4 linked regions of the Schizosaccharomyces pombe genome follow. The gene in region 3 interacts genetically with the main gene of each other region. Each region holds a gene or a part of one and is shown on either strand. Other genes may lie near its edges.

Region 1 (7,113 bases), on a different chromosome or scaffold from region 3:
GCTTTTTCAATCAATAGCAAAGCGAAATCAAATCATTTTGTTTTCAACCTAGGTAGTAAGCTGGCTCGTGTTCATGAATGGGCAAACACTTAAATACTAAGTTAAAATGTATTATAAACGGGTGAACGTCAGAAATAAGGGACATACAAAGCGACAATTGTGAATATTCTCCTTTGGGAAAATGGTCAACAAAATGTAAAAAATCATCAGAAGAGATAAATTTGTGACAAAACAAGACAAACATTTTGTTTGCTTTTTCAAGCATACGGAAAGGGAGTAAGTGAAAATAAGAAATAAAGCATACTCATTAATATTATTAGGTAATTGTTTTGCAAATGAATTAAGCGTGTCTTTGAATGATGTGAAACCCACTGCTCGTTTCAACCACTCCACTAATTTCACCGGGTTTCAAGGCAAACGCAGCGTCTTCAAACGGTTTTTGCATTTCGTCTCTTCCAAATTCGCCTCTACACATAGTGTTAGTAAAAATCGTTCCAGTTGAAAATCAGACTACACTTGGCAAACCAACAAGAGCTTATCACCAAGTGTGGCACCACCATATACTGTCGGTCTTGCGACTCGTATTTAATTACAGTATATCAAAATACATACAATTCACCTCCGCGACGAGCGGAGCTACAATCCGACTCTTTCATGGCTAAATCATGCATGCTTACAGAGCCACTCTTTAGCAATTGTTCATAGTGTTCAGCCAGCTTCCTCGCCTCCTCCTTGCTCCTAGTAATGTGCTCCTCCTTCCATGAGCTGGGACGACGGCTTTCTCGATGCTTTACGAGTAAATGGCTAGCACGAATCTTGGGTGAATTGCTTGCCTCGGTGGGTGTAACTGACTCCTGCAACTCGTTTGCAATGAACTTTTTCAGGGCAGCCATATCAGTGGCAGCCGGAGGCTCCCATAAAGACTCATGCGTCTCAGTATTAAAGAAGTAGGGACGATTTCTGGAGCGTGAAATCTTGACAATCCATGGTTTGGGTAACCCAGTATTAGACATTTTTTTTACCACAACGCTTCTTCAAAAAATGGATTCACTAAGACAGAAAAAATCCTCAACTATAAATTACAAGCAAAACACGTTCAATCTCTGCAATTTGAAGCTTGTTTATTTGCTTTGTTTAGAGTCACGTAGTAGCTAGAGTCGTTTGCCATCTATTATGTAAATAAAGCACATTTGCTATGTTGCTATGTCAACCACCACTAAGGCCTTCGATAGGAAAGGAAATGGGGGCATTCTACCTTTTTATCCCAAGTGGGGGCACTTTCCAAAGTACCAGAAGATAGGGCATACCTTATTCGTCAATTGGAGACAAAACTCAAGGCATGCCTTTTTGCCTCAGCATAAGCGGAACACCTAGCTTGAAAGAGTAAAAAGTCGTAGAGGACTACAAATTCGATATTTATTTAATTAATCAAGAAAAATTGGTGTAATTTGAAGTAGAAACATTTTTTTTCTGGCAGATTTGAGTGGAATTTGAGGAAAAAGGTGAGAAGTTTGGAGATTTCGGATTGTTGAACGAAAATTTGTTGGATTTGAAAATTGTTAGACTTTTGGTGCATTCCTCTTTTCGTTTGTCAAAGTTTACTTAGTGTCGTAGACTGCAGTGAGAAGAGCTCGGTTTTAAGTTTTTTTTTCATAAATAATAGGTTATTGAGGTACAATTCAATTCACCTTAATGCATATTCCACACTTTCATCTTCACAAGGGTCCCAAAGGCGTGCGCACTATATCGTATGAGCAGCTTCTCTCCGAAGATGACTCGTATGCGTCTGAAAAGCTGAGTGAGGACCATGTAACGGAGGTTCATTTTGTTACTGATAAGGACGAGGATTCAAATGCTTCCGGCGAGTCGAGAGGTTCTATGGAGTTGTTGGAAAACTGTTTTTCTTTGCTGCATGCCCAGGACGATACAAGTAAATTTGTGTCATTGACCATGCTTGCAAAATTACTCAATGATCATCCCAATCTCATCTTCAAATGCTGGGAAAGGATGGATATGAAGTTTTTGGACCGCTTGCTCCTTTCCACTCATTACGAGTACGTAGATTTGGGCGTCTCCATCCTTCTCGCTTTCTGCAGTGAAGAAGCCATTTTACGAAGTTATGAAGTGAAAAAAAGGGTTTCTACTTTACTACAGTGTTGTTTGAAACATTATGATCTTTGTATCCCGGTTATATGTACTTTGTCTTCCAACCCAAAATCAGCTAAGTATCTCCTTTACTATACATCATTTATTATCAACGAATTTCCATTTGAACAAGCATTTGAAATCCTTTCAAACGCACTATACGCCCTCGACAACGTACAGACGTATATGCGTCCCATTTTCCAAGGTATCGACAAACGACGCGGATGGAAGTTGGACTGTACTTTCTCGTTTTTTAGCGATTTGTTTTCGCGATTCCCGGTTCAATCATGGTATTCCGAGGCCATTCGTGCTAATCTCCAGCCTTTGATGGATGCGGTTGTTGAACGCTTTATCACCGATAAAAATCTTTCTTCAGCTACCGTTATTCTTTCTAACCTTCTTAAAGCTGCTGGTCCCGCCTCTATTATGCCAAATGATGGGTTTATGATTTTGGTGATTGGTCGCTGCTCTGCTGAGATTCGAGGAAGTCTGGGAATGCTAGTTAAGGCAGTTGGTCAGAAAGGAAAGCATGGAACTGTGTCGTACACGGTTTGTGAATGCTATGAAGTTCTTGGACTCCTCATTCGATATCTATGTGAAAATTGTGACGTTCTTGCCCAAAGAATTGAGCCTGATAAATTTTTCCAACTTCAGCGATCGCTTACTGAGTTGTTTAGCGATACGATGGATTTTCTTCGTGATGCATGGGATAACAATAAAAACCGTGACAATTTAGCATCACATGTAACTGTAATCAGTGCTGTGGCTACCTTGTGTTTGTGGTTGACCGAAGATGACAGCCAATATGCACAAGCCTCTGGTCTTATGGACATATTTGTATATCTGTGGAGGCATAGCTGGTCGAATGGAATTGATTATGCTAAATGGATTAGCGTTGCTCTCCCTTCCATGCTGAGCAACAAGGTTTTCTTTAAAGCTTTTAAAGATTTTGATGCATGGAAAGTTGTTTATGACGATTTTATCAAGTGTAACGATGATTTAAAAGGCGACAAGTCTTTTAACGATTATATACTATCTACGAACGAAGAAGATGGGGAGGATGAACGACTTGCTCAAGCTATTCAAGATTTTCACATTCTCATTCAACTTAACTCTCTTGTTCCACAGTCAATTTGGAATGATGATATTTGGCAAGAGCCATATTGGAAGAATTTGCTTGAATCCAATTTTTAAAAAAGTTTTTGCTTTTAAAACAAATGCCCGCTTTAATATCTCCCCATAATTATTATTTTTCGTTCTTTTTAAGTTTTCTTTTTTTTTGGTCGAAAAAAACATGTCGATTTTTATTTGACAATTATTTAAGTGAAACTCTGCTTCTTTGTCTTTGTTTATTATTTTATTTGATTAATAACTTAATTTCTTGGGTACTTGAAGGGATCTTTAATTTAATACTTGGATTGTGTATCCGGGTTCTTATTATTGCCGTTGTTTTTAAACAATTTCTATGTGCTTTTGTTCATGAAATATTAACTCCTCTATCTTAGACTGGTTTATATTACCAAAAAATATACGTCTAAAACCTCTTTGACCCCTTCTCTTTTTTCTAATTTTCCTCCTCGCCCCTCTTTATTTAATTTCAGCCCACTCATAAATGTCTGTATTGTTTCAATTCAATGCTAGAAGCAAGGTGAAACCCTTGTATTTTTTATTATCTTTTTATCATTTCTGTTTGTTTTTATTTCGTTGTTGAACATTATTTGGTTTCAATTTTCTTTCAGAAGGTTCTTTCTGTTTTATTTCGCTTTTTCCCTTCTGAAAATTATTTTGCCAATGAGACACTGCTTTATTACTTGAAATTTTCTGTGCAACCGGAGCCTGGTTCTGCTGGAAGTATTCGTTTATGACAGTGCATTTATAAAACGAATGACAGATTTACTCTGAATCAGTGGCTGACAATATCATTTTTGAACTTATCCGAAGTAAATTCATGATTCTTTGTTATGAAATGATCATAAATCGTTTTTGAAATATTTGTTCACATGTATGATGTACCTTTGTTTATTGAAATTTGACTTTCGTATTGTAAATGTGAGACATGATCCATTCTTTTTCTACCCAAAAGAAGCAAAAATGTAATATGAATGGATAAGAGAAGTCAGCCAAAAAAGGATTAGCTTTATATTAGACATTTGTTTTTCACTAGCAATACCCAGCTGATGGGTAAGAAAACTAGATAACGGTTTCGGTTCGTATCGTTATAAACCCTTGGTTGCGTAATGTAGTAGGCAATCTTCTATAACGAAGTAAGCAGTTTTTCGTTAAATACAATACAGATTTTAAGCAAACTAGCTTTGCATTCTTCACCAGAAACTGAGAACGTGAAGCTTTCGGGAATGGATCCACAGGTAGGAGGTTTATTACCTATTTGTAATTATTTATTGACCGCGTAGGTGGTAAATTTGCTTCAAGAAACTGAAGGTGTGTACCGATTTTTGTCTGACGACTTTTTGCTAATGAACTCGACGTATAGAGGACGTGTATCGGCGTAAAACCGCAAGGATTCGAAGAAAAGTCTCGGAAATTGAAAAGGAATGCGAAATGTATGCTGTGAAAATTTACAACGTTGAAAGAGACATTCAGCGGTATCGCCATGAAGCGCAATTGCTATCTAAAGTGCTCGAGAAAAAAGGGTTAAATAAAGAAAAGGAAGCTGGTGAGACATAATACTTGTTTTAGGCAGGCGCTTGATGTTTTTATTTTTAAGTCTTCATTCGTTTTAAAATCACTTTGCCGGCCATTGATCTATAATCGTTAACATGCTTTTTTTTGACTAAGTATATGAAGTATGTAATGATTGATGGTAAAAATTGGACTCTGCAACCGAAGAAAAAAAACCTTATGTAATTTTTTGAAAAGTCATACTTTGTGCCGAAATCAATACAATATCTACGTACTATGGCTGTTGTTGTCCTTTTTTGTGTAACCCATTTCAACGTTCTTTTATGTGGGAAATCAACTAGGAATCTTCAAAGAAGAGAAAAAAAGAGCTTTATCTTCTATTAAGTAGGATTATTATAGAAGACTACCGTGTAATGTCAATAAATCATGAACTAACCGAAACTAAAAAAAAACTAAAGGAAAAAGCCGAAACATATGCGTAATCAACTCGATAAATATGGTTTAATTTTTTTGCCCTTTCCCATTTCTTCAATTATGTAAACATAATGTAAAAAGAGGAAAGATTCTTCGGTTGTTATTGAAACAGCTTCCAATCCACCTATGTAGAATAATGTGTTAGCAAACAGTAAAATAAATTTGTTGGAATTGTTGATTACTAAACGGAAGTCATTCAATTTGAAACCATCGGCCAAACGTACCACTATACTGAATAAGGCTATCAGCACCAACAGCCCCATAAGGATTACCACAATCCATTCTAGAGATTCATCATGTGTATGTGTTATCTGTTCTTTCAACATTGAAAGTAGGTCTCCAATTACCTCCACTCTTTGATTTAGTAAAGCAACTCTTTGGTTAATTTCCAAGTAAGACCGTGCTGCTGTATATATAGGTTCTAACTGCGGCTCCGTCCACATCAGCTCAGGACTATCCAAAACGCTTCCTTGTAAATTAATGTTAATTCTTAAAATAAACAACTGGCCTACGGCCATCATAATTTCCTCTCTTTTCAAATTCACTCTGCCAGTCTCGGCAATCATTTGGGGTGTATCTTTAGTAGCATCTATTGTTTCGTTGACCAGCTCTTCAAATAGTGATATTTTGACTGATTGAGCAATAGCATGTGAAATTGAAAGACGAATCATGTAGTTGGATGCATCCCGAAGTGCTATAAAGTCGTTGAATATCTATATCTGTTAGTCGACTAGCTTCACCATGAGGAAAAAGAGCTAAAGACAAAAATTTTTATCAATAAAAATGTTCATACCCTTGGTTGATAAAGAGTCGTTATATAGTAGTTAAACTCTTCTACCTCCATATCTTCGATCTCTAAAAATTACAAATGTTAATAACTGCTTAAAGATACAACAATATGATAATGACTGTCACCCAAAGTAATTTGCATACTTAATTTTTCAATTTCAAAGCGACCGAGTTCTCTTAAGAAACGATGCTCTTCATCAATTGTGTATCCCCATAAAACAACAACGCCATAAGTAAAGCAAAACACTTCCCGAAACAAGGGTTGATTCCTGTCCAACCCGGATTCTTCAAAAATACTTTGTAGACTTTCTTGAGAAGATTCTCGATTTAACGTTCCACGGGAGGACTCCAATGTGTCAGGAAGTAAGTCTGTCGTCTCTTCATTATTGTAGCTATACGGACTATAAATACTGTTATAATGTTAGATAAACCTCTTCAAGTAAATATCAATAAGGATCAATAGAATGAGAAAAATGCAAAAATATTAACTAACCATTCGTCAAATTGTTTAGGTCTTGTTTTATGACTACTTCTTCGAGATTGAAAAAACTTAAACAGCAAGTCGACTCTAAATGTATCGCATGTACAATAGGCAGTTACTCTTGGTAAGAATTCTCGATGCCGTTTTCCAAGATGCTCTGCGTCTCGTTTTGCCGTTGACCCTTCTATTTGAGGAATTTGGGAGTACACTTCGCGCCCCGTATCCTGCCTTCTAAAATCATCAAATTCTTCTGTAGAAGGAAGAAGCCGAAGCTTCGCTGCAGTTTTTGTGGATCTCTGAGGCCCAATTCTATTACTCATCCTCAGAATGCAAAACTGGAGTTGGTAATTGACACAAGCTCAACTTCAGGTGGTAGACAGTGAGAGACCTCTCTTGTAAAGGAATGAACGATTAATCGGAAACTTAAAAATATGCTCATAAGGGCGTTGTCAAAAGAAAACTACTGAAAATATGCTACGCACAATAACCGCAAGTTGACGATTTGTTTGCTATTCTGTGATTGACATTTCCGTATATATTTCGCACCATACAAGTGACAAATCAAAGAAATAGTAAATAAATAA
Region 2 (4,315 bases), 3.7 Mb from region 3:
TTGAGCTTATCATTAATGAATGTCCATCTTTTCAAGGTATTCTCTACCAATCCGTCAGCACGGGGTAGTAGATTCTTGCCTACGACCTTGGGTGCAAACAAATATGGAATTAACATAGGGTGTGGAAGAGGCGTTAATATCACCAAATAAACAAACATTAAGTTTTTATCATAAGGATAGGGCTGTACGGCGGATAGAAGAATTTGTTGAACATGATCAAAGTCGAAGCTAGTCATCAACTCAATTCTGTTTACCACAGTATCCGTGTCTTCATCTAACATAACACTGTAATTCTTAACATCTAAGGGGATCGCTTTAGCACCTACTGACTCTAACCTTCGGAGCTCCTCTTCAACTTTTTCAGCAATCCAACTTTTTGCTTTCTCGTCAACCTGCAAACTGTCCAAATCCTTATGTGCTGGGTTTTCACTCATTGAAAATCAGGTAATACGTTTTTTTCTCAATTATTTTAAGTTTGACTCGGCCAAATGATTTAATTCGAAAAAAGTTTTACCTTATTAGAATATCAGTAGTGGTAAAGGAATAAATATTAGGAAAAAAAAGTAAAAAATTTATCTCCCTTTAAAATCTGTCGAATTAAACTAGATGATGAAAATTAGTAACAAAATGAATATAACTGGTTTAATAAACGAGAAAAATTAGAAAAACCATCAATTTCAGGATATCAACTTGGCCGACATTCGTTCTTCGAGAAATCTTCTGTAAAGAATAATCGAAGACTGTATAAATTAATTTTATCTTCTATGTATCGATCCACTTAAGTTTTCATAGGCCAACTAGCCTTTGGATTGGAAGTAAGGAGCTTGTTTTCGCACGTAAACCTTTAGCATCATTATCTTCATCGTAATTCCAAGTAGTTTCTTTAAACTTTATACATTATTTGTCAACAATTCAGGTTAAGGTGAAAAGCCATCTTTCTCGTGCTTCGACAATAGAAGAGAAGGAGCCCAAACTCGTACATAAGGATCAGTTCCTGATGTGATTATGAAAGGACCTAAACTGGTTACATTTAAAAGTGATGTTTCTGGATCATCGGAATGCCTAATTGAATCGTCAATAATTATTTTTGTACTCGGATCTGTAATTTGGATTGTTCCATCTTCACTAGGAATTAAAAGATAAGCATCGTGCATGAAAGATTCTGCATCATCAGGGTAGGAAGAGTCATTATTGGGTAAAGCTTCAGTATTTTTAGGAATATTTTTAGAAGAATAGCAATCCCAAGACATAGAATATCTTGTATTCACGTGGCTATCAAATATTCGTACCACACGGTTTCGGCGATAATCCCAAAGACGGATCTGTGAGTTAAGATTACTTACAAGCAGATATTTTCGATTTTCTGTAAACTGGAGATTAGACAAAGGAACATTAATGGGTTCAACTAATGTTTTTAAACACTGGCCACTGAGAACATCCCAAATTCGTGCCATTCCATCATAACTAGCAGTCGCACATAAAGTTCCGTCAGCTGATATAGAAACAGATATAATAGGTTCTGAATGTGCAGGTAGCATCCTAAGGCAAGTTCCATCTTGAAGATTCCATATACGGACAGTCTCATCCCATGATCCTGACACCAAAAGCGTGCCCAATGGATTAAAGTCAATTGATGAAACGTAATTTGTATGACCTTTTAAACATCTCACACTGCACCGTTTTTCAAAATCCCAAATCCTTATGGTCTTATCGTCAGAAGCGCTAGCTAGATACTTACTACCAGTTGCCCATTTTACTTGAGATATTCCTCGGTAGTGGCCGAAAAGTGTACATTCAAGTCGAAACGTAAGTGCGCTCCAAATCTTTATAGTTCCATCGGATGAAGAGGTAGCGATCCATCGTTTGTTAGGGGAAACGCTGACACATGTAACACTTTTCTCATGACCGAAAAGAGTACAATATTCAGAGAATCCTGAATGTGATTCATAATTGCGAATGCGCTTATGTATTTGCTCCTCATCTTCCTCTACAACACCTTTCTGGTCTTTTTGTACTTGCAGGTCGTGGTTCAAAGGAAATTGTTGAGCTGTGGAATCCATCTTCTAATATACGATATGTGAAAAATTATCAGACCGATTGTTTGTACTTCTCGTAAAAATGGACTAAAGACAAAAATCGTATCAGGAAGTATTAAAAGGTTTATTGAATGATCTCAACAATCATAAACAAACGCCTTTGTCTGATAGTAAAATCGATCAATTTATTTCCTCTTTCTAGAGTCTATGTACAAGAAAAAAAGTTCATGGGCTTTTTGCATATGTAGATTATAAAATTACAATGATGCCAGTCAATTTTTTAAGCATCCAGCTTTATTGTATGCACAAGCAGTAACTGGTGTGGACAACGAAGTGTATAACATTCAACTAGCAACATACCACAATAATGACTATTTAAAAAACGCTTTTCTTTGGACTTATATTAAATAACTCAATAATTTGACTCGTCTTCAATAAAGTTTACAGGTTCATTTTCCTCGCAATTCACGTCGAAAACTACTCTGCAAAGGATATTCAGGAATATTGTCATTTTTAAGCCATTTAGTTCAAAGACTTAATAAATGGAAGTTTACTACAAATTGTACAATAATTCACGCATTGAAGTTATGAAAAAGCTTAGGGAATGAAGAAGAACGACTAGGCTCCTTTTACTGAAACGTAAAGTTTACAAGGAATTAATACAAAAACTTTTTTCTGATATTGCTCACTAATTTGACGAGGGTTCAATACTCTTGCGCTAAGGGTACGATCTTCGTACTGAGACATATCCTTTGAAGTTTTGTAATCTTCTAGTCTGTGAGTAGGCTAGTCCAATTTCTCTCCGGCCTTGCATTCATGAAGCTCCTGCTTGTTTGAAAGATACTAAAAAGAGGTTTCCTTATAATGAACCAAAATACGTTCTTTGCATAATGTCCTCATTCAATTAATATTGACTTTGATAGCTCCTTCGATATCAAGTTTTCCATTGCTTAAAGTTCTCAATAAGTAGTGTCTGTGATTCATCTCTCAACTGACTTCGAATGAGTCAACTCATAACTTTCAGAGTGATGCAAATAATTTAAGTTAAAAATGTTTCACTCTCGTTTGTCCCAAAGTTTTTTTATCCAGATAGCTGTTGTTCCACAGAAACATCTAAATCACGTGGATAGTAATTGCAAGAAAGAGGCTAACACTTATGAACAACTAGAATTACTTGTTGAGGTCATGAATTGGTAATCAATTTATTTGATCCAATCTCCCAATTACAAATTGGTAAAACAATATTGTGTTTTCATTTTTTGGTGAAACAGTTGGCATCTTAGATCGGTACACATATTAAGCCTTTCATCATAGCCTTTAGTTCCCTTCTTATTCCATATTAAATTAATGATCTTGATTTATTAGTCAACCTTGTTGCCTGGGTCGTAATGGAAATCGCATCTCCTTTTAATCCCTATGTGAAGTAAAATCATTTCAGCAGTTATTATTTTGAATTTTAATCGGCTTAAAAAACTTCTCTAACGCTTGTTAAATGGGCAATTCAGGCATTCATTACAGCTTCAACAAATGTTTATACTGGTATTATAGCGTATTTATTAACTATATAATGAAACGAAATATTTACTTGTTATCGCATTTAAGTGAATAGTTATCTCCATCGTTCTGCTGCCTTAATTTAATTCACCACCAAAACCTCAGTATGATACTTCACTGTCAACAAGAACCAGCAAGTTTAGTTGGGCAGAAATCTAATTAAATTATACAATATGAGTGATTGTAAGACCATGCTTTATTTCTTATTGATTTCTAACACTATACAGTACGATTTCTGGACCTTGTAAAGCCTTTCGCGCCATTCTTACCGGAGATTGCTGCACCCGAACGAAAGGTATGTAGCATATGTATCTCATAAGAGACATCGAAAGCTAATATCGAATCTAGGTCCCTTTCAAGCAAAAAATGTTATGGACTGGAGTCACCTTGTTGATTTTTTTGGTTATGTCTCAAGTACCATTATATGGAATTGTCTCTTCAGACTCTTCGGATCCTTTGCTGTAAGACTATTATTTTTGTTTAAATTTTAATTTTCTAAAGCTAATGACTTTTTCAGCTGGCTACGTATGATTTTAGCTGCCAATCGAGGGTATGTTTTTAAGAAATATGGATGAGTGAAGGTATTGTAACCATCACTGACAAGAGATTACTCTTTAACTTCCTTATTTTTCATTTTTTAAAAAATGTGTTTATGCATTTACTAACCATTATAAGAACACTCATGGAATTAGGTATATCTCCTATTGTCACTTCCAGTATGCTGG
Region 3 (6,965 bases):
TCCGGGGGTTGGGCAACCTATCGTGTAATTAGCAAATGTAAGTAGCGTATATGTAAAATTAACAAACCTCCACATCCTTTTTTAAGTCACCGGTTGCATTAGATACTGTAGATGTTGTAGCCTGTCCAAAAAGTGACATTCTAATAGTTGTGGTAGTTGGTAAATTACTCGTATGCAGACAAAATTACTTGCTTCAACACACTACCACAAATGCTTTTGCCAACATTTGTACTTCAATCACTTACAGCGAATAAGCTTTGCTATTAGGAATACCCAATTGTTATTAATTAACAGTTGGAAACAAAATATTAGTATTTAATTACGGTCACAACATATCACAGGATTTACGCTCCCGAAGTACTCTTTTCTTAATACAATTGAATATAAAGTATGGATTTATGAAATTCATTAGAAAATGGAAGAATTTACCCTAGATAGAAACAGTAATGTTGGGAATTTAATAGCTCTTGCAGTCCTTAACAAATTTGATGAACTAGCCCGTCATGGCAAACCGATCATAAGAGCAAATGGGGTGCGTGAATGGACTACTTTAGCCGGTGTTGTCATTCAGAAAAAGATGGAGAACGAATTTATTTGTGTTTGTCTAGCGTACGTCTTTTTTATTAATATCGGTAAACTGACATCTAAAGAACAGGTGTAAAATGGTATGCTACCAATTGATTTTTTTCATTAACAAGTCAATTTAGTACGCCAGCTGGCATCATTAAGAATGAACAACTGGGTAGTGTATTACATGATTGTCATGCTGAGATTCTGGCATTAAGATGTTTTAACAGGTAATATATACAATTATTTGTATATTTGTTAGTATTCGTTACTAATAAAAGAATTAAGATTACTTCTCGAACATTGTATTTTAATTAAAGAATCAAAGAAAGATACGTGGCTTCTTGAAGTTGCTGATAATGGTAAATTTACTCTAAACAGCAATCTTCTGATACATCTGTACGTTTCCGAATGTCCTTGCGGAGATGCGAGTATGGAGCTACTAGCTAGCCGCTTGGAAAACAACAAACCATGGAACTTAACAGTTGATTCAGAGAAATTAATGCGTGGGAGGGCGGATTTTGGACTACTTGGAATCGTGCGTACTAAACCGGGGAGACCTGATGCCCCAGTAAGCTGGAGCAAAAGCTGTACTGATAAATTAGCTGCAAAACAATATCTTTCTATTTTGAATTCCCAGACCAGCCTCATTTGTGAGCCCATCTATTTATCATGTGTAGTGCTTTATAAAAAAGTGATAGTTAAATCAGCAATTGACAGAGCATTTGGACCCTTTGGTCGGTGCGCACCACTTGCTGAATTTGGAGAAAAGGATAATCCTTATTACTTTCATCCTTTTACCGTGCTGGAAACGGATGAAAATTTTTTATATTCACGGCCGTTGAACCAAGCAGAAAAAACTGCAACTAGTACAAACGTTTTGATATGGATCGGTGATAAAATGCAGTGTACTCAAGTGATACATAATGGTATTAAAGCGGGAACAAAAGCTAAAGACGTTGAAAAGTCTCAAACATTAATATGTAGAAAGAGTATGATGAATTTGCTGCATCAATTAAGTCAATCGTTGACTAATGAAAAAAACTATTATGAATGGAAGAAACTCAACATCAAACGTTGCCAGCAAAAGCAAATTCTTCGTAATATCTTAAAAAACTGGATCCCAAACGGAGGGAACGAATTTCAATGGATATAAGAAATCTAGAAACCTCAATATAAGATGTACGTATGAATTAAGGCATTAAATAAAACGAAGGATGGCTTTACCAGCGATAATAATTTTATTAACGACTGACTTGTTACATAACAAGTAAGAAATAAAAGAACGTGTTGCGAGGAATTAAAAGTTATTTTTTGCATTTCAAAATAATTCACATATAGAAATCTGTCAGAAAGGAAATGAACGACAACTAGAGTAATTAAAGTATTATAAAAATCATCTCATAACATTATTCCATAACTCGGTTTAAAATGTAAAAAGAAGGATCATCGAATTAAACCATAGTCTGAAAATTGCTTGCTGTGACTTGCAATACGCCTTACTTCGGAAGATGATGGATGAATGTTTTCTGGAGTGTTGGATATGGATACTGGAGTAGGCGGGCCAGTATAGTAATTTGAATTTGGTTTCTGAGCGCTTAAATGCTTTAACGGTGTAGAATTGCTTTTAGAAAGTGATTTTGGCCGAATGCGTCTAGGCGTTTTATGTTGTAAAAGAGATACGCTACGTGTCAATTTACCATGACGAACCCACAGATAATGAGAGGAGGAGCGTGATAGCGTACGAGAAGGGGTGCGTAAAGGAGAGGTATAAGGATCATACATATGTGTTAGATCATCAGAACCGATCGGTCTTGGCGTTGTCAAACCATTCTGATCATATATCGACTTCGTGGGAGATCCCATGGAAAGCCTGCGATTCCCTGAAAGATGTAAGGACGGAGGCTTTCCAGAAGAAAGCGATCTCTGGTTCCATATGGAGGTAACAGGTTCAGAGTTTGGACAATTGTGAAGCTTCGTTTTAGCGACAATGGGAAGATCTTGCAGAGGGGAAAATGTTTGATTAACTTGTACTTTATACATAGCCAATTCAAGACGTAAGCGTAAGTTTTTAGCACAACACTGAATGTCGTCTAAGTGATTATTGTTGGTATTGGTTTGTACTGGTGTCTTGGGTTCTAAATGTGTTTCTTTTTCCTGTTTCTCTCCTATCTCAGTAGAAGATTCTTTTTCCTCTTCACTCTCCGTACTACTAACAGATTTTATTTTTAAGACTGGCTCTTCACATGCATTTTCATCTGCAATTTCTACTGCACGCACATTTCGAGATCGAACCGCAATCGGTGAAATCGTCCCTGGAGCCGCATTCTCTTTTCCTAATGGTCTCTGCATCGGTGTTATAGGAAATAAATGTTGCACATTTTTTCCTTTTCCATACTCATACACTTCGTTTGTTGGCCTTTCCCCCAAAGTGTTTAAACGAGATGGGGTCAATGGTTCCATTGACCTATCCATCTTGTTATTTTTTCTAAACGGAAACCAATATAAAGATTCCTAGTAGCAGAGAATCAGAAGGAAAAGTAATAATCAGAGACAGTTTTTTTGCGACTCGTCGATTGTTGCGTACTTGTGGCACGTATATAAGCGGTGTCCAACGCAACGCGACGCGACGCCCTTTAAAGCGCGAATTCGCGATATAGCGCGTTTTATCAGTTTGCTCATATCCTCGAGTTTATTAATTATATTAACTTTCAAATTTTTTAAATAGCTATCAAAAATGATGCTATAAAAAGTAAACCGCAATTTGCATTATGAAGAGTGATTTACCTGTTATGTTACCGATACACAAACTCGTTCATAACTTTCCTATAGTCATTTTACAAGGTTAAGAAGGCTTTATTCAACGTCCGTTTCAATATCCCTGCAAACGACATTTGAAAATGACAAAATCAATTGGAATAATAAATGGAGTATTTGTGAATTGCACAGGCAGACCTACCGTACACTGAAATATGCTTTTGTTATGTACACAATTACTAAGGCTGATATTTACAGATTAAAAATAAGATACGTTATATCAAGATAACAGTCGGTAGACGATTTAAACGCGCATCTTCTTAATATTAGTTGTGAATAGATACGAGAATGAAATTTTTTTTACACACTAGTATTCGACCATTTTGAAAAATATTTAGTCAATTCATCGCAAAATGTGGATCAAAAAAGGGAATGCAACCACAGAATACACCTTAGACCGCTTTAATGATAAGAATCACTGAATAACCTAGAAACCCGAATGATGCTCAATGGAAAATAAACAAAAAGGGATCTGTAAGATAACACACACCTTTCCACATACGCTTGACAACGAAATTTCATCCAAGACCAATCAAACGCTCCACATCAATAGGCTACTCTCAAGTCACCAGTTCATCTATGCAAGAGCGGGAAAGTCAGTCTCAGAAAGGGTGGGAGGTGCCTGTTGGGTTTTTGAGGCAGTTTCTGAAGGACCACGACGGGGAGCACGGTTAGGACGGCCACCGCGAGCAGGACGAGCAGTAAAAGTTTGCTCGATATCAAGAAGAACCTTCTTTGGCTTGCTTTCCTTGGCAGCAGACTTCTTTTGAGAAGCGCTCTTCTTAAGAGAGGCAAACAATTCTTCGGGGGCACTCTTCTCGACCTTAGTAGCGTTTTCAAGTTTCTCAACAGTACGACCAACAGGCTTTGCGGCGGACTTGCGTTCAGACAGATATTCATCAAGAGTCTTAACATTTTCCTCCTCGGCAGCAGGAGTTTGGGCTCCAGAGGGAGTGTTACCTTCGTTCTCTGCAACATCAGGGTTAGCAGCAGAGTTTACGAGATCACCCCAGCCACGTTCAGTAGCCTTCTTGGTATCACTAAAATAATGGTTAGCAATTATATAATTTGGCATTCACATGTAGAAAAATAAAACACATACACTCTACCAGTTTGGCTATGGCGGTCAAATTCACGACCACGGCGAGCACGAGCATTGCGGCGGTTGGAGGGGGCGCCAGTGGCATCCACAGGATGGGCAGCGTTGTTAGCACGAGCTTCTTTGCCTTCACGAGCAAAGGCTTCGTTTCCTTGAGGAGCTTGACGGCGTCTGCGAGGTTGGTCTGCCTTCTTATTAACGGTACGCTCACGAGGAGTGGGTTGGTTAGGGTCACGCTTCCTAGAGGTGGTGCTTTGAGCGACTAATTCGCGGGGGACAGGAGGGCTGTCGGAGCGCTTTTTGTCACGAGAAGCAGCGGTTTTCTTCTCGGTAGTAGTAGCTGCGGGAGTCTCCTCTCCGAGGAGGTCAAAGAGGTTCTATAATTTGGTTACTACTTGCGAAAACAAAATAAAAATCAGCAGAGTCTGCAGAGCTAACACTCTAAAGAATAATGAACGAAATGTGAATTTATATTTTTTAATACTTGAGCGTCTTTATACAGGCTATACTTCTATAAAGTATTTCATTCGGGTCGCAGTAATGAAACCTTAAACACAGCCCTAAAACATGCTACAAATAATTACCAGTTCGTTCATTTCCTAACCCTTAAAATAATCGTTTAATGATAAAATGTTTAAATCATACCTTGGATGCAACAGACATTTGGAAGCTGGAAAGTTAATTGTGTGTGTTCAGTTACACAACTACAGTCATCCAAAAAGCAGTCACTCAAACTTAGGGTAGGTTGAAACAAATGATGTGCTTTGTCCATCATCTTACGGTAATACCTAAGGCTATCTTAAAATTACAGTTATTCAACACAATGCCTGTCTTTTTTCTATGATATCGGAAGCACTTGGCTTACAATTGTCAATATTCGTTTTATCGAATCATTCATTTCTTTAGCATTAAAATAAGTTTTATTAAGAAATATACTACTGGTAAAAAAAAGCTAGGCAGTCTAAGTAAGAATTAATTACATTATATTTTGAAACAAATAATAAATTAATTCATTCAATGTAAAAAGACTGGTACTAAAATCGTTATAAACTAAATCCAACCAAGTAATAACTTGAGACGATTAACATTAAGCATCAATATCGATTGGGTCATCAGAGGAACCTTTTCCCATTGTTCCATTTGTTTTGCGAGAGGCACGTAGAGATGTACCGGCACCTTCAAACTTAAATAAATTGGGGTCTTTCTTAGAATCTTCTTCAATAGAGGGTGCTTTATAAGGATACCCAAAGAAGTATGTACCCAATGGTAGGATCAACGGAGCAGGACATTCTTGTTTCTCAACATCGAGCAAATTTATTTTAGGCACTTCAGCAACTTCTTTACCATTTAGTTTAGTCCCTGTTCCCTTCATCAAATTCGAATCGCCCTGCCTCACCAGCTCATCGTAACCAATCTTGGTAACCATCGTTCCTTGAACGCCAGCAATATTTTGCTGCTTGTTTTTTTGCAAACTTTCTTCATAACCGATGGGGGGATCAAAATCAACTACCAAATCGGTTTCTACCACTGAGACAACATGGCGGGAGTCATCAGGTTGAACATCTATAACTTTTATTTGATATACCTGGTCGTTATACAAAATCTCAAATATATCAGATTTTGTAAGCGTACTGAAATTCCTAAGCGCATTTTCCAATACCGCTCTGTGGTCCGTGATATCAAGAAAATTCACGCTTTGAGGCTGTAATTTGACATAGCTGCCCTGTGCTATATCAGTATTTATAACTCGAACCAAATCTCCAGGCTCAAGGCTAAGTGTAGTCATCATCTGTGCCCTAGTTAGTACATTTCTGACAGTCTTTAAATTTTTTCATACCCAATAAGGCAGGTAGACACGTCCCTCTTCCGCAATAAATTCTAACACACCCCCATGAGTTTTTTTCTCTGCAGCTTCGTTTTCAAAGTCAAAAAGCATGGGATAACTGACATTCAGGCGTGCTAATAGTTAATTAACAGATTTAAAAGGCTTAATAAATTCTCTTCGCATTACGTACATAGTTTTTCTAAAGCTGAAGGTGGTAATATTACTAGACGTAGTTGTTAATACTAATAATCCCCAATAACAATATAAAAAATATTGAGCAGAGAATGTTAACCATAAGCAAATGCGCAAGCAAGCGCTCAAAGATAAAATCACATGAACTTCATGAGTATATAAAATCAAATCTCCAACAATGTGAAAACTTAAAAGTATTTTCAAACCTTACCTTTCCCACCATAATTGACATTTGGCCGTTCCTCACCAGGAATCATGGCAACAGGATAACAGCGGTAACGAGTATCAAATCGCTGATTTACATTATTATGAAAAGCTGACCGAAGTTGAGACATCATGGAGAAACCATCATCGTCGCTTGAGAAAAAGCTGCCGCCAAACTAATACGTGAGTAAGTCAACGTACGCATTCTCTAAAAAAACCATACCATATTTGCTTTTTTTGCGAAAAAAGGAAAGAGTAACT
Region 4 (8,517 bases), 1.5 Mb from region 3:
CTTGACCGCTCCGCTGTAGTGTGTCTCTTTCCTTTTGTATGCCGCACACTCTATTGAAAATGGGTATTTGGATTGAAATTCATTCGAATGGTATAGGAATATGCATTTGTAAAAATAATTTGTATCTTAATTTTTATCGCGCGCATTCAACATTTATTTATTAATACTTTACGTTAGGACAAACGGTACTGAGCATTCCTCTTCTCATACATCATTCGGTATGCCCAACTCCATATTAAGTATCTTTTTCAACTCCTCAGATTCCTTTTCATGTAGCATAGTCATTAAGAAAATATTTATAAATGTTTTCCTTTTAAAATCTATATTCAAGTTCTCACTTGTTTTAGAAATAAACTTTTTCCGTTTAATTCCCAACCGTTCTACAAGCTAATGTTTACTTTATGATCATTTTTCCATTATGCAAACCCAATAATAAATCCCTCTATCCTACTGTCTGTCTCTCTCTCTATGCATATTTGAGTTTTAAACAATCGAGTTGGTTCATGGTAAAAATGCTTTTATTCATTTCTCCTAGTAATACAAAGTATTATTAAAAAAAAAGAAGAGAAGAAAAACCCTCAAGGGGTTTAGTAAAAAAAAATGTAATTCGTTATTGCTCATGATTTTCATGAATTCAGTGCAAATAATTCGTTAAAACGCTAGTAGTTTTTTAATTCAGCTAATAAACCTCATAAATTCAATGATAAAATATACTATCTTTAAGTAATGACAGTTGGCTCCTTACGACCAGTCAATTCCTCCAGAGCCAAGATTTCAAGAGCTGCATGAACCACTGGCTTCAATGCAACTTGAGCATCAAGATCAAACTTGCTCGAATCTGATTCGTGCTTCTCCATGTAGAGTCGTAACGTGGCTCCGCTGGATCCAGTACCGGACAAACGTGTCACAATTCTACTACCATTCTCAAATTTGATGTATAATCCTTGATGCTTGCTTTCGCTACCATCAATGGGATCATGATACTCAAAATCACCGGCTTCAGAAACGACAAAACCAGGCAAAACTGCCTCTCCAACCTTGCTCTTATCATCGGCAATGGCACGCATTCTATCCATCACCTTACCGGCAGCTTCATTTTCCAACTCTTCATAATCATAACGACTGTAGAATGTACGGCCATAAATATTGTAAAAATCTTTCTTAACATCGATCAACGTCTTGATCTTGGGGTTTTGCGCGTTCAATCCAGCAAGAATGTTCAACCAACACAAGATTCCCCAAACGCCATCCTTCTCTCGAATGTGATCACTACCGGTTCCAAAAGACTCTTCACCGCAGATGGATAAACGCTTAGCATCAAACAAGTTGCAGAAGAACTTCCAACCAGTAGGAACCTCATACACATTCTTTCCCTTATACTTGCCAACTCTGTCAATGGCGCCAGATGTGGGCATTGAACGAGCAAACCCATGAACACCTCCATCACGGAAGTATGGAATTAATTCGGCATGATGGGCAATGATGGCTACACTGTCACTAGGTGTGACGAATGCATTGGCACCATAAATCATGTTACGATCACCATCACCATCAGATGCTGCTCCCATTACAATGTTATCCCGATCAACACGAGCCACCAAACTCTTGGCGTAAGTGAGGTTAGGGTCAGGATGACCACCACCAAAGTCGGGAAGAGGTTTGCAATTCTGACAAACTGATGAAGGCATACCGAGTTCCTTACAGAAAAGAGCCTCACCGTAGGGACCAGTGATACCATGTAAAGCATCAAAGACAAATGTAAAATCGGGGTTTTTGGATAGGAAGCTGCGAATCAAATCAAAGTCAAAGATTTCTTTCATCAACTGAACATAATCCTTGACCGGGTCGATGACTTCAACCGTCAATGGGCCATATCTACGGACACCGGTCGTCGTTAAATCCAAGGGAGGAATCTTTACCATTTTGTATTCGGATATGGTTTTAGTAATGGAATAAATTTTCTCAGTAACAGATTCAGGTGCTGGTCCACCATTGCCAAGGTTATATTTAATACCGAAATCGTTCTTGGGACCACCGGCATTATGAGAAGCGGTCAAAATGATACCGCCGGTTAGCTTGTACTTCCTAATAATGTGACTAGCGGCGGGAGTAGACAGATATCCATTTGTACCAACAATGATCTTCTCAACACCATTGCCAGCAGCTATAGCAGCAATGACTTGGATGGCATGAAAGTTGAAATAACGTCCATCACCACCGACAACTAGATGGGCTCCTTTGGCAGATGGTTCAACTACATCCATCGTAGCTTGAACAAAGTTCTCAACGTAATTTGGTTGCTCAAAGACAGTAACCTTCTTGCGAAGACCTGATGTACCAGGGCGTTGGCCCTCATATGGTTTCGTTGGGATTGTTTCGATCATGTTGTGTTCCTATGAGTAAACAGCCTCGACTTATGCAAACTCTAGACTTTCAATAAAAGATAGATGATATTATTAATCGTTTCTTGTTTTGCTTCGTAAAAAGCTAAGGAGTGTTCGGATATGCCACAAAATGATTCACTAACTTTTGTGTTATTTTATATGCTCAGTATGGTAGAGGGGAGAAACACGGGTACCATGTAAATATAAGAGTTACGAATTTTTAACGAACTTCACTGTGATGTAAGTGGCTTCCTTGTTGTCATTTTGCAGTGCAAATGTAAATAAAAGTGACATTATGTAAACAAATCATCTTACCGCTCAGGTAACATAAATAAATACATTATTCATCATGCTTCATGGTGTGAAGAAAAAATGTTAGTCAAGTAGAGTCGGTTAGGCCTAATTATTACTTCAATGAACGAAACGATATTACACTATAATTTTACCCAAAGACTCCTTTCATACGCTTAGAACCAGTTTTGTTATCCATTTGTAGGATTTCAGTACCAGCTAGTAAACTTCACTATATCACCAAACCACAAATTAACTCAATGTAACAGCAATACCGTAATGTGTATAACTGTCTAAGAAGCCTAGAATAGTATTGTATATGCGGTATAAAAATACCTTTTTATTACTGGGATAAAACAATTGAATATAAAACTAGTTATTGAGAATAACAGACTATAGTTTCCAAACCAGCAAAAAATTTAGAAATCGAATAGCATTATTAACTAATCGATAAATACAACATTTCAGAATATATTCACTCTCTGAACAAAGAAAAGAAAATTGTGAAAGCCATGTAATATTAGTATAAGTCTTAAAGTAAAAGCTCAGTGGATGAAATTAGGAAATAAGTTAAACGTATAATATTTCAAAGCATGCCGTAAAAGGTTGCTAAAAAAAGTTGCAATGGCTCAGGGCAGACACGGGAGGACGATAAAAAATTAAGTTGCCAAATGGAATATGAATAGGCACAAATGGAAAGATGGGGAAATGTAATTATAGATACTCAATTAAGAAAATCGTGGTGATATTGTGGTGATATTACCATGAATGACTAACGACCAGCGTTTGTCAAAATGCATTTTCATCAAGAATAGAGAATAGGAGGTTCTGATCTACTACCAAAAGTTCAAACGAACGATTATCATGAATAAGGCAGAAGAGTATTTCGTGATTGGGCATTTATATAAACGGTATCAAACACAATTACAAAATGCGAAAAAAAGTTATCGTAATAAATTGTGCCTGTTTTCATCTTTTGTATTAGATCGTGATTTTTGTGGTGATGAATACGCAGGTAAACGCATTTGCGGTGGGGGAGCAACAAAGGAACCTGACGAGGAAGATGGAACCCTTGATTTTAACGAGAACATTTTATTCCCAATAGAATTCAGGTTTGGAGGGAGAATGCCAATTTGAGAATAGTCATTAAGGTCTACAGAGGATGTTGGGTTATCTGAACTAGAAGAAGGCGCCGAGTCAGCAAACAAGAGTTTGGGCTTAAAAGTAGATAAATCAGTTCCAGGCCTGAAGGATTTCTTGATTCTTTTCCCCCGAAAAACATAGTACAAACCATCAGAAGGAGGAGGAGTAGGCTTTCTCTTCTTTCTTGACAAAAGCTGGTTATCAGATGAACTGAGAAAAGGATTGTGTTCTCTGTCTTCTTCCATACATCTTTCTAAAGAATTACTCCGATCTTGTAGCATTAAATTTGGTAGTAATTGCTTTTTGGGAGTTTTAGCAGGTGTAGGTGGAAATGTGCTAACTTGAGGTGCTGGTAAATCGCTTTCAGGGATTTCATCTATCATAATAGAAGAATTACCTTCTAACGAAGCATCGATGACTCCTTTAAAACTCCCAGGAGACTCTGGGGTAGATGGAGTACACAACCCTCGCATAGGTGGTGTTGAAGGTTCCATAGCGAACTGACAATCCAAAAACCAGGTAAATGCAAGAAGAAATCCTTTATGTATCGAGCGGATTATCAGAAGAGCGTGTATTCAAGCTTTCCGATATGATTTAAAAAATGTATTTTTCAATGGTTTTTGGGTGTAGGAAAATTCAGCACCAGAAATGTTCACAAGTTACCTGTAGCAAACGAAAAGGTAACAATTTAATACCCACCAAGCTAGCGACTGCGCTTTGATAATTATACAATTTAAACAATATTTGTAAAATTGTTTGAAATAATATAGAAACAATTGAAATGGCTTCAATATATCAAAAGGAAGGAACAAAATGGGATTGTAGCTTGTAAGAAAGGTATTGAAATTTTCGGAGTAAACAAAAAAAAGGAATCTTTTAGAAAACGGGAATGGGAAAATGTCTATTTTAAAAAGCAAAATTTCACTTCATACCAAGAAGTAAGTGCAGCTAAAATATCAAAGAATCAACCAATCAAAAAAAGATATGTGCCAACTTTAAAATTGTAAATAGAATAATTAACAAGGAAAAATATTCTTTCTAATGTTAGAATTTAAAAACTAGTTGGTTGTTTGCTTAGACGAATTCAACTTTTTCACATAGAAATTGAATGCTCGATTTCTTATAAAGATGCTACCGTTCCTTGTAAAGAGTATAATTCAAAATTAAATTTTAAAAATAAAAAACTGATAAAAAAGCGGATTCTCTTTGACCAAATTCGTACAATTTAGTAATATATTACTGCAGCACTCAAGTAAACACACACGAATCAAGACTAAACAAGATCAATTGATTGTATATTATATATAATCCAAAACAAAAAAATTCAGTTTGCAACAACCGCTGTCAAGGAACCCAAAGCTTATGTATGTAGTAGTAGAACTGTATGTTTGACGTTCTGGTTAACTGGTTATTTGCTCATTTCGTGGTAACCATTACTATTAGATGGCTGTAACGCAGTACGCTAAATTAATTACTTTGATCAAGTACAATTTTTGCATAAATGTGTAGTTAGATTTTAAATGAGAATCGATTTTCTGTTCTCTTTAGCAAAAATCTAAAAAATTTACTAACAATTTTAAGCATCATAGAAATATTCCAGTTCGAAAATAAAAATATATGACTGCAAAACCGTAAATAAAAGTAAACTACATTTGAAGTTCTAATAAAGAAGAAACTTCGCGAGTATGGTAAATGAAATAAGTCTCTTATTGTTATTTAAAAGCAAGTACTATCAAAACTAATTCAAGGGATATTTCGTTAAGATTGTTCCTTATTAGCAAATTGATGGTATAAGCAATATTTATTACCTTAGCTCAAATGCAGGAAAAATGGATTTATGAAGAATCGACTATCTTTCAAACACCATTTTCAAATCGAAATGGGAACAGCAATATGCAAAGTAAATACACGGTTGCTACATCGCTAAGTATTTCCAAAATATATCACAATTGTTAAAAATTAAATCGTGACAATGTTTATTTATGTGTTTAAGGAATACGCTACTAACATAATTTATCAAAAAATATTATAAACATATTGGTCAATAATTAAAATATTCATAAATGAATGTTCATGTTATGACTTATTTTACGCTTCATTACCTATTGTTTACAATAAATAGTATCAATGCATTTGCCAAATGAAACAATTAAAATGATAGGTTCGTTAAATTAAAAATTAAAAATATGTTTCCTCTTCAAAAACTATTATCAAAATGTAATGCACATAACTAACTCTTTATTCAATTCATTTCTTCTTCTCTGCCTGTGTAAACACTAACCTCTGCCTCATATTTCCTATCGTTCTTATTCTAAGGGACAACTGGAGTCGCTGCAATTTTCTTTTCAAACTGTTTCATTTAATTTATTATATTTTTTGTAAAAAAAAATAAAAACAACCTTCGTCTACTCTTTGTACTGAATTTCTTTAAACAATTCGCACATCTTCAATCGAATACTTTGTTAGGCTTAAATTGCACACAAGAAATTATTTTCTATACTTGAGTTAATTATATATTTTTTAGTGATTTTTTCTTGTCTTCAGTTAATAGGATAGTCTATCTTTTTCTTTGAACATGACATCTGAATTGCAACAAGAACTACAGATTTTAAGGAGCTTTAATTACACTATAGAAAAGCTTACGGATGGTCTTTCTGCTTCTAAAGAAAAAATAAAGTCATTCGAAACCTCCATTAACAACTCGAATCGTCTAATACAATTATGGTCATCGGTTCTAAGCCAAACGGAGCATACTCAGAATCTAATACTAAATAGCGACTGGAAAGGTTTGTCTTTTGATAATGAAGAATTAGAAAGATTGCAACATCAAAAAATGCTTCAAATACAAGCCGAAGAGCAGAGAAAGATCGAATTACAACAAGAACAAGAACGACTTGAACAAGAACGAAGGCAAAAAGAGGAAGCTATAGCTCTTCAAAAACAACAGCAGCAAAGGTTATTAAGGTCTAAAGATCCAAAGGTCCGACCTGCAAGAAGAGCCGCATCTTCATATGTACCTTCTAGGCCTTCCCATGTTCCCAAGGTCTTCATCCATGAATGTGCGTTCTCGGGTTAGCATGGCTACGACTTCTAACCCAAACTCACTTAGGACTCCTTCTTCATCTTTTGCAAGTCATCGCCAATCCGCAATTCCAAAATCGGCCACCTCCTCTGCTCCTACTATACCAACATCCAACTTGCCATCCGTAGCAAGTTCGATTCCTAATAATGGTCTCAATTCTTCAAATAGAAAAAGTATAATTTCTAAAACTTCCTCTAGACTTCGTCCACCTTCACGAGTCAGTAATGTGCCCTCCGTTCCTCAGCACCCCTCAACTCGTAGCAGGACAAGCACTCGTGAAACCACTCAACCACCTTTCACCACGAATCCGTCCAATCGCTCAAAACGAACTACTTTACGATAGTTTTAGGGATTTGAAGTTTATTCTAAAATCGTTTGCATTAAAAAAGCTACACAAGTAATTGTAAACAGCTTTTTTACTCATATCATTTAAATTATATTGTTCATTCCACACTTTCAACTTTACTTTCAATACCCAATCTTTTTAATTACTAAGGCTCCTAAACTTATGAGAAAGTACTGAACTATCTTTATGTTAGAATTTGTTCAGGAAAATGCCTATATTTTAAAACCTATTTTGTTTTGAAACATTGACGTTAAGCGTTTATTTTATTTATTCTAAATTTTCTTTTTTGTATTGGAAAACCCCGAGGTTCTGCTAAATGACGGACACCGCGAAGTATGAGAAAAGCAGTGCTCGCTGCTGGATATGCTATGAGGAATACGACAAAAAACTATGCTCCCTTTCAAATGATTCTTGGAGACGTCCGTGTCGGTGTTCACTCATTGCTCATGAAAGTTGTTTGATTTCTTACATTACCAGATCTGGCAGTACTCGTTGTCCTCAATGTCTTACCGCATATAGAATTGCTAAACCGCCAAAGGAAAAGTCTTGGGCTGTAAACGTTCTTGGAATCGGTCATTCCCTTGAAGCTGGTCTAGCTCAAGTAACGTTTGGTGTAGGTTCTTGTTTAGGTATTACCAAGTTTATTTATTCAATATTCAAACAGACTGGAATATGGATATGTAAACAGGTGGCAGATGAAAGCAGCCTGATAGAAATGTTAAAAAAGCCAGTTTTCTCCTCTGTCGTATTGCCTTTATTACCATGCATGTTGGTTCGGTTCTACGAAGCTCCGCCTTATGATATAGCATTTAGTCTCTACACGCATTTTTCAATTTATAGTTGCGCGGAAAAGATTTCGAATACCTCACTTCTACTGTGCACTCTGCCTTGGGTAAGATCTTTATATAAGGAACTAATGACCCGTATATTTGACGGTATTGTAATTGGAGCGGACGGGGAATTTGAAGATTCTGAAACTGATTGGTTTCGCCAGTTTGAAGCACAAGTAGAGCATCGTAACCAAGTCGAGGATGTAAACGAAAGAGAAGATACAGAATCTGAATTTTGGATTCTTTTGTCTGTGGCACACGTTTTCCTTGATGCTTTTACTACGAAAATTCTCCGTATTGTTCGACCGATTCTACTATTCCCATTAGCAGGGAAATTTTTGGGAAGGTTTATTCCAGGGAATTTCACAAAGTTAGAGAAGAGCATTATTGGTGCCTTTGCTGCATTAGTTTTTAAGGACATTTTTGTCTATGGTTTCATTG

Evidence for each region.
Region 1: mutations in nrm1 (region 3) and hap2 impair growth when combined (synthetic growth defect), as found in Schizosaccharomyces pombe (2 studies listed by BioGRID, with this or other methods).
Region 2: of nrm1 (region 3) and swd3, changing one enhances a phenotype caused by changing the other (phenotypic enhancement), as found in Schizosaccharomyces pombe (2 studies listed by BioGRID, with this or other methods).
Region 4: of nrm1 (region 3) and rum1, changing one suppresses a phenotype caused by changing the other (phenotypic suppression), as found in Schizosaccharomyces pombe (one study listed by BioGRID).

The regions. Positions count from the first base shown.
Region 1 is NC_003421.2:658,568-665,680, reverse strand, and holds hap2 (Ino80 complex subunit), read left to right. Parts: upstream 1-4,471; 5' UTR 4,472-4,499; coding exon 4,500-4,511; intron 4,512-4,556; coding exon 4,557-4,584; intron 4,585-4,636; coding exon 4,637-4,830; 3' UTR 4,831-4,941; downstream 4,942-7,113. Other genes in the region: peptidyl-prolyl cis-trans isomerase Pin1, read right to left, coding at 341-467, 613-1,013; protein asi1, read left to right, coding at 1,693-3,339; sif2 (Sad1-interacting factor 2), read right to left, coding at 5,360-5,383, 5,484-5,972, 6,053-6,114, 6,193-6,458, 6,542-6,849.
Region 2 is NC_003423.3:546,415-550,729, reverse strand, and holds swd3 (Set1C complex WD repeat protein Swd3), read right to left. Parts: upstream 2,367-4,315; 5' UTR 2,061-2,366; coding exon 918-2,060; 3' UTR 501-917; downstream 1-500. Other genes in the region: SPOM_SPBC354.04 (uncharacterized protein), read right to left, coding at 1-434; translocon alpha subunit Sec61, read left to right, coding at 3,764-3,773, 3,818-3,885, 3,939-4,051, 4,108-4,140, 4,266-4,315. UniProt on the Schizosaccharomyces pombe protein: The Set1 complex specifically methylates 'Lys-4' of histone H3.
Region 3 is NC_003423.3:4,282,119-4,289,083, reverse strand, and holds nrm1 (protein nrm1), read right to left. Parts: upstream 3,141-6,965; 5' UTR 3,043-3,140; coding exon 2,014-3,042; 3' UTR 1,724-2,013; coding exon of another isoform or gene 856-1,723; 3' UTR 798-855; coding exon of another isoform or gene 708-797; 3' UTR 666-707; coding exon of another isoform or gene 651-665; 3' UTR 610-650; downstream 1-609. Other genes in the region: nucleoporin Rae1, read right to left, coding at 1-17, 68-139; tad1 (tRNA specific adenosine deaminase), read left to right, coding at 416-609, 651-665, 708-797, 856-1,723; oga1 (protein stm1), read right to left, coding at 3,962-4,424, 4,487-4,860, 5,129-5,146; Hrd1 ubiquitin ligase complex subunit Ufd1, read right to left, coding at 5,571-6,272, 6,321-6,442, 6,499-6,531, 6,712-6,880, 6,928-6,930. UniProt on the Schizosaccharomyces pombe protein: Negative regulatory component of the MBF complex involved in cell-cycle-dependent transcription.
Region 4 is NC_003423.3:2,796,384-2,804,900, reverse strand, and holds rum1 (CDK inhibitor Rum1), read right to left. Parts: upstream 5,225-8,517; 5' UTR 4,313-5,224; coding exon 3,620-4,312; 3' UTR 2,984-3,619; downstream 1-2,983. Other genes in the region: pgm1 (phosphoglucomutase), read right to left, coding at 720-2,384; SPOM_SPBC32F12.07C (MARCH family ubiquitin-protein ligase E3), read left to right, coding at 7,563-8,517. UniProt on the Schizosaccharomyces pombe protein: Regulator of cell cycle G1 phase progression. Ensures the correct sequence of S phase and mitosis in the cell by acting as an inhibitor of the cdc2 mitotic kinase. Probably interacts with cdc2 to inhibit its action until the cell mass for Start is reached.